2 linked regions of the Styela clava genome follow. The protein of the gene in region 1 purifies or fractionates together with the protein of each later gene. This does not show direct contact. Links are inferred from orthologs where the notes say so. Each region holds a gene or a part of one and is shown on either strand. Other genes may lie near its edges.

The links. Proteins that work in one complex are often made in the same cells at the same time.
Region 2: the proteins of axin-1-like (region 1) and low-density lipoprotein receptor-related protein 6-like purify together in Homo sapiens (affinity purification with western blotting; 3 studies listed by BioGRID). This does not show direct contact. The link is inferred for Styela clava from reciprocal best matches to the Homo sapiens genes AXIN1 and LRP5.

What each region holds. Positions count from the first base shown.
Region 1 is NC_135256.1:17,129,871-17,137,860, reverse strand, and holds the start of axin-1-like, read left to right. Parts: upstream 1-4,935; 5' UTR 4,936-5,050; coding exon 5,051-5,217; intron 5,218-5,438; coding exon 5,439-5,729; intron 5,730-6,260; coding exon 6,261-6,384; intron 6,385-7,146; coding exon 7,147-7,353; intron 7,354-7,577; coding exon 7,578-7,699; intron 7,700-7,990. Other genes in the region: ATP-dependent RNA helicase DDX19A-like, read left to right, coding at 775-891, 1,497-1,694, 1,906-2,080, 2,992-3,059. UniProt on the Homo sapiens protein: Component of the beta-catenin destruction complex required for regulating CTNNB1 levels through phosphorylation and ubiquitination, and modulating Wnt-signaling.
Region 2 is NC_135261.1:20,798,407-20,806,331, reverse strand, and holds the start of low-density lipoprotein receptor-related protein 6-like, read left to right. Parts: upstream 1-4,894; 5' UTR 4,895-5,137; coding exon 5,138-5,198; intron 5,199-6,670; coding exon 6,671-6,843; intron 6,844-7,133; coding exon 7,134-7,375; intron 7,376-7,925. UniProt on the Homo sapiens protein: Acts as a coreceptor with members of the frizzled family of seven-transmembrane spanning receptors to transduce signal by Wnt proteins.

The sequences.
Region 1 (7,990 bases):
TAATAAAATCATGTGTGGATACTAAACTAAGGAATGCATGTTATAAAAGAAATATTTTGAATAAAACAGAAAAGAAGCTGTAATGGCCCTTTTCTCGACTTTTGATCACCGAAAATATTCTTTCTATACTTTACCATTGCAAATTTTTCGAGGCTTATTTTAAGAATTTCGGGTTTGCTTCGGGCTCGGGCCTGCAAATACAGTTAATTAGTCGGGCCAGGTTGGGTTTAATACCCACGGGCCCGAGTCGGGTCGGGCTGGAATTTTTGGGCCCGATGTTACCTCTACTCCATGTGTAGAAATCACCATACCCTTTGATCAACTTATATCGGAAGTGATTTTATAAGAAATACATTTCAACTATAATATGACTATTCGAAGGTTTCAAGACAGCTGCTATTGTTAAAATTTTTAAAAGAAATTTATATGAAAATATTCAAAAAAAAAAGTTGTTATTTAAAGCTGGTATGCAATCCTAGTTTGAAGCAATATTCACCAAAGTATTCCAACAAAAGGTTTACAGGAGTTTAAAAGTCAAAAATATGTTTCTACTCATTATCTCGAAGCAGCTTTTTCAAGTTTTGCTCTTTTGGGTTATAATCCTCATATTGTAATATGTAAAATTTACACAGGTTGTCCAAGAACATAACGCTATGATTTGCATCTTTTCATTTGTAACCATATCTTTATTACATCATGTTTGTCTTTTTCAATAGTTTGCTTGTTGTAGCCATTGCTATATTTGTAAACATACACTCTTTTTATCATTCATAGCTGAGAAGAGAAGAAGAAACATTAGACAATATCAAGCAATATTTCGTCAAATGCACCAGCAAAGAAAAGAAAGCCGATGCTTTGTCTAATATTTACAGTGTACTATCTGTCGGCCAGGTACTGGTGTAATTATTTATAGAAAATTTCCTTCCTGTATTCTGAGCATAATTTACTATTTCAACATCTTCTATCCTTCTGTGATCGGATTAGTCTTTATTGACACTAATATAGGTTTTCTTCTTCAGAACACTTGCAAATTATAATGAATGGTCATATGAAGGTGCAAACTAGGGATAGGATGAGATTCTTATTTGAGTCGAATCCACACATTTTACGACTCAAATTTGAGCATTTAATGTAAAATCTATATAATGTTCAAATAATATGTAAACTGGTAGTCTATCCATCTTGGATTGCCAGATACTTTATCTCTACTTTATAAATTAGGCTAATTATGCCTGGCCAACAGTTATCCAACATTGTAGCCTTGACCCCAGCATGAACTTCACTAATACTTTTCCCAGAGTAGTTATGAGAGAATGATGTGTAATTGTTGAATTTGATTTTTAATTGTTACTCACTGAACTGATTGGCGTTTTAACTTGACCCCTCTCTTTCTGGAGTGTTCACTATTTTAATTTTCATGATTGGTTACAAATTTTTGTATGCAATGTCTTATTTTGTTGAAACTAAATTCCAATCCATTTAATATTTTTTGTCAGGCAATCATATTTTGTGCAACAAGAAAAACTGCGAAATGGCTTGCACAGACGATGTGTGAAGGAGGATTTGTTGTTGCCTTGCTAAGTGGAGAACTGGATGTTGAACAGAGAGCTTCAATTCTACGTCGATTCAAAGCTGCCAAAGAGAGAGTTCTTGTAACAACAAATGTCTGTTCGAGGGGAATTGATGTGGAACAGGTAAATTTTCTAAAATATATTGTATGCTTATTCATATATATATATATATATATATATACGCTACCTCATATACTGAAATAATCTGAACACCATCATTTTTTGTCATATTGTTTCAATACAACATTGCATAAAAATAAATAGTAAAACATTGAAAAACAGACCACAGAATTTTCTTCTTTTTTCTCAATTTATTTCCCTTTATGTTAAACAGGTCACACTGGTTGTGAACTTTGACCTTCCTATCGATATGCAAGGAAGAGCGGATTGTGAAACATATTTGCATCGTATAGGTCGCACTGGCAGGTTTGGAAAATCTGGAATTGCAATCAACTTTATCAGCCAAAACAGAGATGAAATGGTTTTGCGAGAAATCGAAAAACATTTTGGTGAGTAGTGTTGATACCAAGGTATTGATTAACCAGGTTTTCAATGTCTGAGGGTACAATAATAATGATGACATTTTCTAATACTGCTATGATGCAATTCACTAGAAACAATCATGGAAGTGGCACATGACAAGATGTTAGAGTTACGAGTCTGATTTGACTAATCCGAATAATAACTGAGCTTAGAACTTAAGTTGAATCTTCAGAGTTTGTGATTTCACAACAGATAACAAAAGCATGTTTCACAGATAAATTGAGCCACATATACGTGGTTCATGCACCGAAAAGCACATAGACATATTTTCTGGCCACATTAGGGACAGTACGCACCTAGTATGTTACGAAAGAAATCAATATTTTCCAACAAGACCCTGGTGATAGATACATTATGTTTTCAGAGAGCCTATGTGGTCGATTGAATGATTTTGACTAGATATTGTTTGTGCTGATCTTCGGAGGGATGGAAAGTACATAGCATAGGTTTCAATTAGTAGATACAGAATTTGATTGAGACCTAATATAGAATCCTTGTCCCAAAAATATGTGGATTCTAATTAAATCAAGTTCTGATCCAAATCTCGACCCATCTGTACAAAATATATGCAAAGACATATTTCAAGATAAATATTTTTGTGTCTTCCAAGTGACATTCTTTATTGCTGAAATTATGATGCTATAAGTATCATTTTGTTTATCCTGTCCTTTCTCTAAAGAGCACTGATGGGGCCAGAGAAAGGTTGTGGAGAAAATGGGTATATATTATTCCAATAATCGTCTATTTTTTATCAGGGGTTTACTAACCCTTGTAGTCAATTGTTAATGCCAATACTGTATATATGTATATAGGCATAGCATACTATGAATAAGGGTAACAGGGACTTATTACTAACGTTATGGTTGTTTTATTTCAGGAATTAAGGTTCATAACTTGGACACCAATGATTTTGATGATATGGAGAATAAGATTGGGGAAAAGTGAACAGAAATCATGCACACATTTTAGACTTTGTTTTGAAATTTCGTTTTTTGATCAGTTACTACTTGCTGAACTTTTTTATTCAATAAATAAACAATTTCTTTCTCCATTCCAAAATATTCTTCTCTGTTTTACTGCTGTAGCTGAATTCGGTGTTTTGAAATATTAGTCAGAGAATGTGAGTTTACAACAGTGTATTTATCATGAGTACTTTATCATTGAGTGTATGCTCAAATATATGGACACGTCACAAGGTGCCACTATATTTTATTCTGACACATAAAATACGAATCTCCGCAGAAATTTTTGAAAAAAGTAATAGCCTTATGGCGAAAAAATCAATCTTTAACCACTGAAAATTTCTAAAGCAATTGGTCCAGTATTCGAAGAGAAAAGCGATTTTATAATGGTGATGAACTACAACATAATATTGAAACGATCGTTATGTCGTGTCCAATACCGTGTTTTCTCGAAAATAAGACCTAGCCTGGATTTTAAAAATCATTTTAATATAAGCCCTCCTCTTAAAATCAGACCTAGTTGATACGCAAAATTGTTTTTGACCTAGTCGGTAGCAAAAATTCTCTCCTGCACGCTTTAAACGATTGATAAGCTAACTTTAGCAGTTGATTTGAATAAAAAAAACGTGTTATTTATAAGTAAATAGATAACGGCTTTCATATTTTGTATATAAATTTGAAAATCTCGTAATTCTTTACTTTGTAATTTTGTTTTTATTAAATGAAAATATAAGATATCCCCCGAAAATAAGCCCTAGTGGTACTTTGCGGAAGTAACTTGAAATAAGACCCAGTCTTATTTCCGGGGGAAACACGGTAACACGACTCAGCCCGCAGGTGCACAGCTGAAAACCACGGGTCTGGGCTGGAGTAATAATTGAATTGAATATCAATCTGAAAAATATGTCTGAGCACTAAAATTTCAATTGTTGTCTCATCTTTGGCATCTGCTGATTAACCGATGTTATCGAAATAAACATGGGTGTCGATGGTCAGGGAAACATCCGCTGAACAAAATAAGATTAGCCTTGCTGATGAAGACATGATGGAGAGAACATCACCCTCTTTGTTGCCCTCACCATGGTAAACGGGGATTTGGCGCCACATAGCGGCATAGCTGAAATTCGGCATATCAAAGGACATGCCGCGGAATTCGGCACTGATCAAAGACTTCGGTTGGGCCTGACGAGCGGATGTTTTGAGGTTTTGCGAAACTTGGTTGACTGATTCGTAGTCTCTTTTGTTCCTTTATATAGTTTTTCCCAGCTAGTAAATTATCAAATAATTTTCAAACACACCAGAATAGTTACGGTATAGGTCGTTTTAAGTCTGAAAGTACAGCAGTTCTACCAAGGTGACTCGTGACTGAAAAATGAATGGCATGGATTCATTTTCAAAAATTTGATCAGTATCAACTACAGCAGACTACGTCTAAAACTGTACCGGTACGCTTGAATATAAGTTGATTGTCGAGGGTTGGTTGCTGAATTAGAGGATGACAACGAGACCAAATCAGAGAATTCTGGGATTAGCAGTCGATTAGACGGGACTTGTGAACTTTCTGATTGCATTGCTGTAGATTTATACAGATGTACTGGTATACTCCAGAACTTATATAAATCAGTACAAACTGTATAACTTTATTTGCCTGTGACAGTAGGCTATGACCTGTTGGTTTATAGTACAGTAGTATTACAGTATTATCATATTTGTACCGGTATGTAGTCGCAACAATTAAAACTGAAAGAAGCTATTATGACTCAGAAATAATAATATAGTCCTGTAGACTAGTCTATTATGATATTATTATATGCAGATATGAGTTATCGGTTCATGTCTGTAATGAAATACAAATTTTCATGATATTGTTCAGATCATTCTAATATCATACTATTGCTTATATGTGAAATTTAGTATAAAATATCAAATGAAAATGGTTGAAAAATAATTACAAAATGCACCAAGTCAAGCAGCATGAATAACTTTGGGGTACAGTCGTTTTTACAAGGCCATAACTTCACAAAGCCATATGCAAGACCCCCTGCCATTGGAGAAGAAAATGAGGTCACATCTGTTGATGGACGTATGTCAACACATAGCAGTGTGAGTGGGAAATCCGAACTGTCGACTGCAACACCCAGGTATATTTCATAGGTTCTTTTTATTTTATCGATACATTCCAGCATTCTGAGTCCTCCAGTTGTATGTTTGTGTTTTATTTAGTCTTGTTGATAAATACAATTTAATTCTAAAAGTTCATTCTGGAAAGCAATTGACTACGTAGATTAGTATATGTATCATTCTTCGCTCATTTCTCGAAGTTTTAAACCTAACTATTCTGAAATTTGATTTTTTTTTTCAGGCGAACTGACATAGATCTCGGATTTGAACCAGAAGGAAGCGCTTCACCTCTTCCTACTTGTGATCGATGGAGATCATCACTTCACAATATGTTGGAAGATAGTGAAGGAATTCGATTATTCAAAATATTTCTTGCTGATAGCAAAAGACAAGAATTATTAAATTGTTGGTTAGCTTGTAAAGGATTCAGAGACTTTGGTACAAAAAATAATTATTCAAATAATTCTTCGGCTGCTTCATCAACAACAGGACCATTGACAGCCCAAAGAACTCAGTTTGATGCTGTAACTAGGTGAGAATTATTCTATTGGTAATAGTTTTGAAAGTATATAACAGAAATATGGAACTTGCTCGAGCACTGTAATCCACTGGCTCTCAACCTTTATCTCTTGTGGCCTATTTTCAGCGTCAAACAAAATCTCAGGCTCACAAAACCTTCGAGTATCTTAAATGTTTTTATTTGAACATTACCAATACAGTAAAAGTGTCAATAACAAAACTAATCCATGTCTATTTATCAACTTGTCAATTTGAACTACCAAATGAGGGTTCAACCTCGAGCATAAATCACCTCTTTTTTTTTCAATTTGTACTTGATGTTTTCTTGGGATCTACTGTAGGCTCAATGAAAACTTCAGGCCTATTTTGAAAATCTGGTTGAATTGAATTGTAGTTTTCTATTCTAAGCATATCTACTGGATCCCAATTTTATGTCTATGCAATTGTCCAATACTATTTCAAAATGGATTACCAGCTATTTTCTTGTACAGATTGTGCATCATTGCTAGTTTTGTATTCATGCATTTGTTGATTATATTTTCAGAGGAAAACTTGCAAAGACGATTTTCAATACTTACTTGAAGAAAGATAAATGCCATGCAGTGTCAAGTATCATAAGAGATGCGACCCGACAGTATATTTGCAAACAAATAAAGAATGCATTGCAGGTAAGTTTTTTTACAACATGAATATATAGTATAAGTAATAATTGTATGGTAATAATGAATATCTGAATTTTGACATTGATTCCCAGCTTAAATTGTTCTATCAGTATCAGATATAAACTAGACACATCACTTTTTGGTTGTCTAACTGTGCCTTTCAATAGTTTGTGTTATGATTTTTGATAGAATTGAAACCATGTTAATGAATGTCAATGAACACACTATGTATTTATGTTTAATATATAATATTAAGGTGGACCGTTATCAAAACCATGACAAAGATATATGGTTTAGGGCGGGTGTGCAACAAGCGGACCATGACCCGGCCTACTAAGCCATGTAGTTAGGCTTTTGTGAACAATCTGATTTTCCTAATTAAGCTTACAATCATAATTCGAAAATTTATGTTTAAAAGGCGCTCATATGGTAAAATACATAATGTTTTATTGCGCTTGTCAGTTGTCACTGCAATTAATCTTCTCTGGTGCTACATAGAAAAACTAAATTTTGTGTGGCCCAGGTAGATGTATGAAGTTTGTTTTATGGCCCACTGCCAAAAAATGTAGCACACCCCTGGTTTAGGGAAGAGTTTGTGTTATGTTCTTGTTATGCACAATGTTTGAAAAAACAAATGACTGGGTTTTGGTCAGTCCAATTTCCAACTCAAGAGCTGATGATTTCATTGGATGTAAACTGTACAGTACACTGCCCTGTTAGTCATTGAACTTGTAGAAAAGTTTTCTCCAACAATGCTTCTTTTTTTAGGCACAGAAAAATATGTCTTGTTCTGTTGAACTAGACGCTTCTCTGTTCGACCAAGCTCAAAACGAAATCGAATCCAATATTGAAGAAAATTCATATATTTCATTTTTGAAAAGCGAACTTTTTCAAAATTATGCTGCACAATGTGAAAACAAACCCAGTAAACAAAGCCCTCAAAATGCATCTACACTTCATCATTCCGAAAACAAGGTGAGGTCTTGATTTTGTGCAATTTTTCATGTCAAAAAGTGCTTCTCCACATATTGAACTTGCCTGTCACTGTTTCTTCATGTATCGCATTTTGATTACTTGCAATCTGATGTAACTTGAGATGATTTATATAGTTGGTTCCTTATGATACTTAAAATTAATGTGAAGCCTGATTATTTTAACCTATAGCCGACATATGTTTTTTATTTCAAAATTGTCTCCAGAGTGCACCATCGAATGCTCCTCAAGCTGCTCCAACTGAATTGACGGTACCTGAGGGCAGATATGGATATTTACCAAGACTCGATGAGAATCGAGAATGGTCTTTGCCACCTGTCCAACCAAAGTAAGAATTTTTGCTATTCATTATGATCATTAGCTATTAATCATCCTAGAGCAGCGGTTCTCAAACTATGGGTCGCGACCCACTGGTGGGTCGCAAAAGGAATCTTAGTGGGTCGTTTAAAGATGTAAAAAGCTTTGATTAATTATACTGGGTATTAGGATCGGTGGCGACTCGAATATGTAAATCCTAAAAAAAAAAAAAAAATTAAATTGAATTTAAATTCTGATCTGTGAAAGTTTCCTTTTTACGATCTTCTCAAAGGAACACAAATTTGCTACACAAAGAATGATC
Region 2 (7,925 bases), on another chromosome or scaffold:
ATCTCTAATTTATATCGAATTACCATGCACGAGTTTAAGATAACATCAACAGACAGATTAGTAATGTTCAGCATGCAACACTGTTTCGTTGCATAATATTGCGAAATAAATAAAATTTGATATGCTGGTTCACCGATATACTAAACCAGGGGTCGGCAACCTTCTGGACTCGGCGTGCCATTTTATGAATAATGAGCACCTTCACGTGCCAAACATTTTTATGTGTTTGGTTTGCATAATTATGCAACTACCTTATTTGAAAAGTAAGAGAATGAAAAATAAAAATTATTTTATAGGATAACGTGCATGGAAATTAGCTTACAAGGGATTTTGTCATACGGCATCTCTACCTTCGACCTGTCTTTGTACGACTTACGGTAAGTAATAGGTATAAATGCCACTTACGATTAGTTTTGTAGCCAGAAACAATGTGAATGTGACAATACTAAAGAATATAAAATTCATCGCAATATTTTTGTTAAAGAAGATAAAAGTCATTCCAATATTTACGCTGAAATGATGAGAATTGTGGCTTCCATGGAGTACCCAGTCAGCCAGACGCGCAGTCAGGATTTTCAAAAAGGGGGGTTCTGAAACAGTCGCCGCGATTACGCGCTCGTAAGATGGGTTGACTTTTTCAGCGTATACCGGCCCTTCGGTCGCGTAAAATATTCAATTCATGACAGCTACGAGACTCTATGAAATTTCCTTCTTTATTGATATAATTGTGTCCAACGTGACTCGTGGTTGTGTCCTCTTGCGTCAAAAATATAAACATTTTTAGTCTAAAATACCGCTCAATCTGTTGACGTAAAAATATGAGATGAGCATGCCTAATTGTATTTAGTTTCGATACTTTTTGTGATCTTGCGAATTCGTTATCGCCGTTAGAAAAATCTTAAGATTTGTAATGAAATCCCGTATGGTACAATTAAATACATATAAAGTATATATATATATAGATATATATATATATCAGTAAATTGGCTGATGGAAACATTAAATGCATGAATTATGCTATTCAAAAATGTGACTAAATAGCATCGTACTTTGTCCGAATATCATACCAAACAGCCGAAAAACGAAAAAAAGTGGTAAAAACTGACTGTAGGCTACATCCCATTAAACGCCATTGCTTGATTGCCTAACTGTCTGAGCTTTTCCACTGCCGGCGATTTTCGTGAAAATGAGTTTTAAAAATTAATGTAAATAACAATCGTCAAAATTCCTGAAAAAATATATAGAATCCAAGCCATCAAATAATTAATTAATCTATAAAGTGTGTATATAATAAATCCGCACTCAATCATGTTAAAAACGATTTGAATTGAAACTAAATCATGAGCATCATCGATGCATAAATATCTTGATTTTACTGAAACCCACGATGCTTTTGTTTGAGTCGAATAAATGTAGAAAGATAATCAAGAACATACATATATATATATAAGAAAAGATTTAACGATCAAAAGAGATATTTCGCTCTACAAAAGCTGACTGATGTAACGGTCATTTCTTAAAAGAAAAAAGAGTATATATAAGATACTGAATGTATTATAGTGAGGTAGCAGCGATGGGGGGTGTGTCTGTATGAACAACCGTATCACAGCAAGGTAGTTCAGCAAAATTCCCTCACCTGTACATTATGGTTTATTGCATTTATAAAGTGTTACTTTGGTATCATTGAGCCAACATCGACATTGGATGAATTTCCATTGTCAGCAACTCCACAGTCAGCTTTTGATATATGATTGCCATGAAAACAAGCTGGTTATACTCAAATATATATATGATGACGACACACACGAAGACCAAAACGAAATTTTACAAAGTGCCTACCAGTACCAATTTAGCCAATAAAGAACAGTGTTGTACGTTGTAGATGAGTTTAATATTGTAGATAGACACGGAGAACAAACGATGAAGATACAAGACCTAATACATGCCCCAACTTGGCAATATGTTTTCAATAGAAGTTTATCTTTACTGTTCACTTCCAATTAGAAGATTGATCAATTTAGCAGTGGCAACCACTACAAAATTATTAACATGGTGTGGCAAATAATTTTTTTCCTTTTTATTGATATTTTTGTTTACTGTGTAGTTTACCATAAGCTTGTCGCGTTTTCTTTTTTACTTAAATTATTTCTCTTTAGTTGTGTGTGTGTGGTAGGTGCGTATGTGAAATAATTTTAGGCGAGTGAACACGTACCACTTCTTCTTGGCAAAACCTTCCAACTTATATTCTGTACGTTTTAAACCTTATTTTGTTTGCTCTGTTGATTTCATAATCATTTTTTATTTATTTGTTTTTATCAATCATTCTATTGTTATGCTGATTATGGAGCCGGAATAAATTTATACTTATTATGAATAGACAGATAGTTTATTTTGAAAACTCCATAACAAATATAAATTAAAAATGGAGAATTCTGGAGAGCAGGCAAAACCTAGAAAAAAGTTTATACCATGAGAAGTATCTCATGTCCCTGCCCACCAGCACGCACACAAAAACACAAGCCCAGTTGAATGAGGTTTGGGCCAAACTTAACAAACAAAATACACGATAGTATTGAACTTTCGGGCTGTTGTACTTTTAACACTTACGTTGATAATGACCAATACAATCACATTCAAAGATAATGTGGGGAGTGGAATGTAATAAATTGACGACGATAGTCATACCTTCACATCAGAACCTGGGACATGAACGTGCCATAAACTGATATTGTACATATCATTGTGGTGCCGTACCTCTTTGTCATGTGTATTGTACCTGTACAAGAGTTTTATTTGTATATTTCATGTCTGTTGTCCTACTATAACGCAGCAGTCCTAAACTGCAGTTATACGTGTTGGGGTGCATGTCCACATCTGTGTCTTAGGCCAGTAAGGTCTTACACATGTATCCCGTCTCTTTTATACCGTTATGCAGATACTGTTCCATTTTTGTGGCAAATAAACATAAATACATACATACTCATGAAGCCATGAAAGTTTTAAGAAAAACCAAGCCATGAAAAACTACACTGATTGCTAGATTGGGCATTGCGGAAAAGGTAAGTAGTTTAGGTATTATGCAGATACTGTTCCATTTTTGTGGCAAATAAACATACATACATACTCATGAAGCCATGAAAGTTTTAAGAAAAACCAAGCCATGAAAAACTACACTGATTGCTAGATTGGGCATTGCGGAAAAGGTAAGTAGTTTAACTGATAAGTAGTTTAATCGTAGTAGAATATATTTACGGTGAACGAACAAACGCAAAACCGTGACGGTAAATTCGGTGTGCGGACACTCATAAAATATAGTGCAATAAACTGTGAATGACCAAACTAAAAAAAAACAGCAGGAAAGCAGATTCACTGAATGCAATACCAGGTATTATTAAGTTCACCCAATTCGAAAGAAACAATTTATAAGTAACCTGTTTCAGTTTCAAAAAATAGGTAGGCCCTACAGCAAAAACATTTTTCTGAAGATACTGTAGCAACAACATTAACTTCAAATGATGTTCGAAATTCACTATGATGTGATATAACTATTTGTTTGTTTTGTTTATTTTTATTAAATTCAGTAACTGCAAATTTGAAATCTAGAATCTAGATATTTTTTGAGGTCGAACTAGATGCTTTTATTCGGACAAAAGTGGCAGCCCCGGACTAATCACAGCTTCGATGACGAGCGTATTACAGCCGAGAATTTCAGTTTCTTCTGTGGTCTGGTGGTTTTCTTAATATGTTTGTGTTTGCATTTATTTATTTTTTTATCATTGTGGATGTATAATTTTTTTTGCCTCCATGATTTTTCTATGCAAAGGTTTATTTCTGGGAATGGGATCAAATCAAATTTGGATGGGAACTAATCAACTATTAATTCGATCAATTGGCAAAAAAAAGCGCCGTATAAGTTATTCCGTACCTTGTATACCTACATTGCATGCTTAGAATTCATACTGCTGTACTGTGAATCATAGTAAAATTGACAATTTTGAAAGAGGCAAAGGACAATATTAAAAGAGGCAAAAGTGACAAACGGCAAAGAAGACCATACGATTTGCATACGGTATGGTACCGTACCTGCTGAACTGTCTGCATGTGAGCCTGTAGGCCGACTACGGTAGTACCGGTACCCGGTATAGGATTTTACATACCGACCTCTCGTCTCGTTAGTACGGTGCCGTAGCGACATGTGATTAGTTAGCCAGTTGGACTACGGTACCGGTGGTACGGTATCAGATTCCGGTACCTGTCTAAGCGTGGGTCAGTACCGGTAGGTTAGGTCTGTCAATCTGTAGGTACCGGTACCGGTACCATGGGTGAATTAACACGTACCACTACTTTTTGGCAATACTTTCCATCTCATATAATGTACGTTTTAAACCTTATCCAAGGTTTTGTTTACTCTCCTGATTTCATAATCAGTTTTTATTTATTTGTTTTTATCAACCGTTTTATCGCCTTTCTGCTGATTACTGGATTATGGAGTCTAAATAAACTTATCTTATCTTATAGCAAATGCTAAAATAGGATCAGCTACCCGTAATACAGTATTGGATTAAGCTGGCTTCTAGTTCAAAAATCCAATACTGCAAAAGCATTTCTGTAATATCTATTAACCATGATTTTTTTAACATAGTCTACAGTAGGTCTGTAGGTGTTGTAACAAACAAGCTATGGTATTTATGGATCTGTAATCCTATGTCTGTCTGCCTGTTGAAGGTTTTTGGCTGTTGTTGTATCCATTTTTGCATTTAGTACATTGAACTCACATTTCAGCATTTTTAATCTCATGTCACAGTGTCATGCATGTTCCACTCACAACTATCTACGGTACGGTACCTATGCTCAAACTTTCATAAACAAGTCAAACTTTCAAATATTAACCTGTTTTTTTAACAGTATTTTATATGAAGCTTTATCAATAAAGATTCTTATATTATGTAAAAATGAAGCTATTTACTGACTTACCTGAAGTTGTTTGCACATCATGGGATTTATGTCTGACAAGAAAAAAGTGAAGCTTGACTTTGTTCTCAAAAGTTACTCGTCTACCTCAAGATAACTTTAAATTCTTGTAAAGATCTTTAATATTTGCTTGTTTGTGGATTTACCTGGGCAACCGTTTAAAAAAATGGGAGTACTCAAGATAATCTTCTACCTCATTCTCATTTATTCATTTATTGAACCTCTCGGTAAGTTCTTTTCTCTGTTCATGATTTCATGAGATAGCATATTTCTATCTTGTCACATTTCACTTTTGTGTTGTGTTCCTTGTATATACAATACTTATTGACTTCAATTTTATTTTTTATACCGGATAGTTACATGCAGGAAGTGTTATTGATAAATAAGGAAGTGTTTGGAGTGAATCATTTCCTTTATTGATGATTATATAAATTTTAAGGCGCATGTTTACTAAACGCCGTAAGTACTTCTAGTTGGCGCGGCACAAACATTTTTGCATAATATGTTATTCCTAACCCCCACCTGACTACATCATTCCAAAATTAAGTCACTACAACGTCATAGAGCTTGCCAAAGAAATGCTAAGATTGCCCGAAATGGCATCTTCGCCGACAATATAAAACTTGCTTACGCCAGCGATCTCTCTCATATCTGGATCGCTAAGACGAGAAAACGAGAGAAATAGCTTGCTTGATTCTGGGTGATTGTCTGCGCGTTTTAGACAACATTCCATATACTTTGACGGGCCTTATTTTGTCACTGTGACGTAATTTTTGGTTGGCGTAGTCAGGTGGGGGTTAGAAATGACATATGCGAAAATGGTTATGCCACGCCAACTAGAAGTACATGAAGGCGTTTAGTCAATTAGCCCCAATTTTCATTTGAATATCCTCCCATGAAAAACATACATAAAACAAAACAATGAACACACAAAATATTAGGAAAATCAGGAAAACTGACAAAGACTCTAATAAGGTTTAAAACACATTGAAACACATGTGCCAGTTTAACCTATATTATAAGCACAAACATAAAATACGAATGTGTATCGTTCGGACATCTGACTTGTGTAGCATAAACACCCTGCCGATAGTTAGTTACTCAATTCTGCAGCTGCACTCTTGCCCGTGGAGTCGGGAGTTGAGCATGTTTTGTTGATATCAGAGTCTGAGATGGAGTCGTATTTTGAAATTTTCTTGCAGGACAGAGTTGAGCCAGTGTCATAATTGTATGTCTCTGGAGTCAGAAATAAAAATTTTCAATAGTAATAATATTTTCAACAAATTTCAAAACCGCTGAGATGACTAAGAATTTGAAAAAAGAATTGCCAAAAATTTGGTTATCAAAATTAAAGTTTTATCCGAGCTGGAGTCGAAAGTTTTTATCTGCCTGTAGTAGTACCGGTAGTCCGTGCTAAACCAAATTCCTTAAATGTCTCAAGTTTTAAAGTTGGAATACGATGTGTATTTCTCAGGAAGTTAATTTTATTTTAGTAATGCTATGTATGTGAATAAAAACCCTGAATTAGTAATCGCATCGAATGTTCTGTGTAAATTTTGCAATACATTCAAAATTAAACCTTGTTACAAAATAATGCTATATTAAATAATAAATGATCAAGTTTTTTATATCTTTCACATTTCTAAAATCTGTCAATTTTTTTATCGTGTTCTAACTTATTATTTGATATTTTATACAGCTTCCAATGATTTGCCCAAGCTCCTGCTTGGAAATCGTGCAAACATTCAACTCCTCGACGCGGCCAATCCAACTGATGTTGAATTGATAGTAGACGATATTGACTACACAATGTCATGTGATTATATTTACTCAGATAATTTGATATTTTGGATCGATTCAGCAGCTGGACAGGTAACTGGTATTGCCAATATTAGCAGGAATTTTAGGAAAGCTGGACAAACATTATCAATTGTTGAACTAGGCTTATGTTGTTTTTTGCTTTTTTATGGGTTTTGCAGCCCATTGTCTGGTATGTAGCTATTTTGATCATGGGACAAAAATTGAATATCTATAATTCTTATGTATATCCAATGGAATGGAGCTTTTTTAATAGCAGATTCTGGTTTTATTTGTGTGTCATTCTAATTTTGCTTTGTATTATTTGTTCTTATAACACGTAAACACTGTGATGCATTTTACAGGATAAAATACAATCAACTTTCACGAATGTAAGTTTTGAAAATCGGATAAAAAGAAACGTCATTACAACTGGACTTGTACGTCCTGATGGACTTGCTTGTGACTGGATAAGTAAAAAATTATATTGGACAGATGATGAAACCGATCGCATCGAAGTCAATGACATAAATGGCAAGATTCGTAAAGTTTTGGTCTGGGATCAGCTTGATCAACCAAGAGCAATTGCAGTTGACCCAATCAAAGGGTAAGAAACTGACTGTATTTTACTTACTAAAATAAATTTTCATCAATTTCAAATTGTGAAGTTCCATTTTTACGAACTAGGCATTACATATCTGAAATTTAATTTTGTTTTAAAAATGTACTTACATGTCCAGTTTCTTTTTTCATTGCCATCTTAATCTTTAAAGATCACAAAGTTTACCATAATTCTCATTGTTCTCATTTCTCAACTGTTATTGTAAACCATTATTGGTTTTCTTGTCAAAGGTCCTTGTCACCTCTTGAATGTGGCACTCACATAGAAAATTTGTGAAGTTGAGTGTGTGCGTTTATTGATTATATTGGAATTACTTTTCTGTTTTTTCTGAAGGTGTTTCACTCACCCATGGATGATAGTTTTTTATTTGTTTTGTAAATGTGTTCAATTAAAACATCAGTTTGCGTTAGTGGGTAATGATTACCGCAAAAGGAATATGTATTATCTGAATCTATATTTCATTAAGCAAAGGGAGGGTTTTTGTTTACTTTTTCTGAAATTAACAATGAACAAGACATATCATGATTTGTGCAGG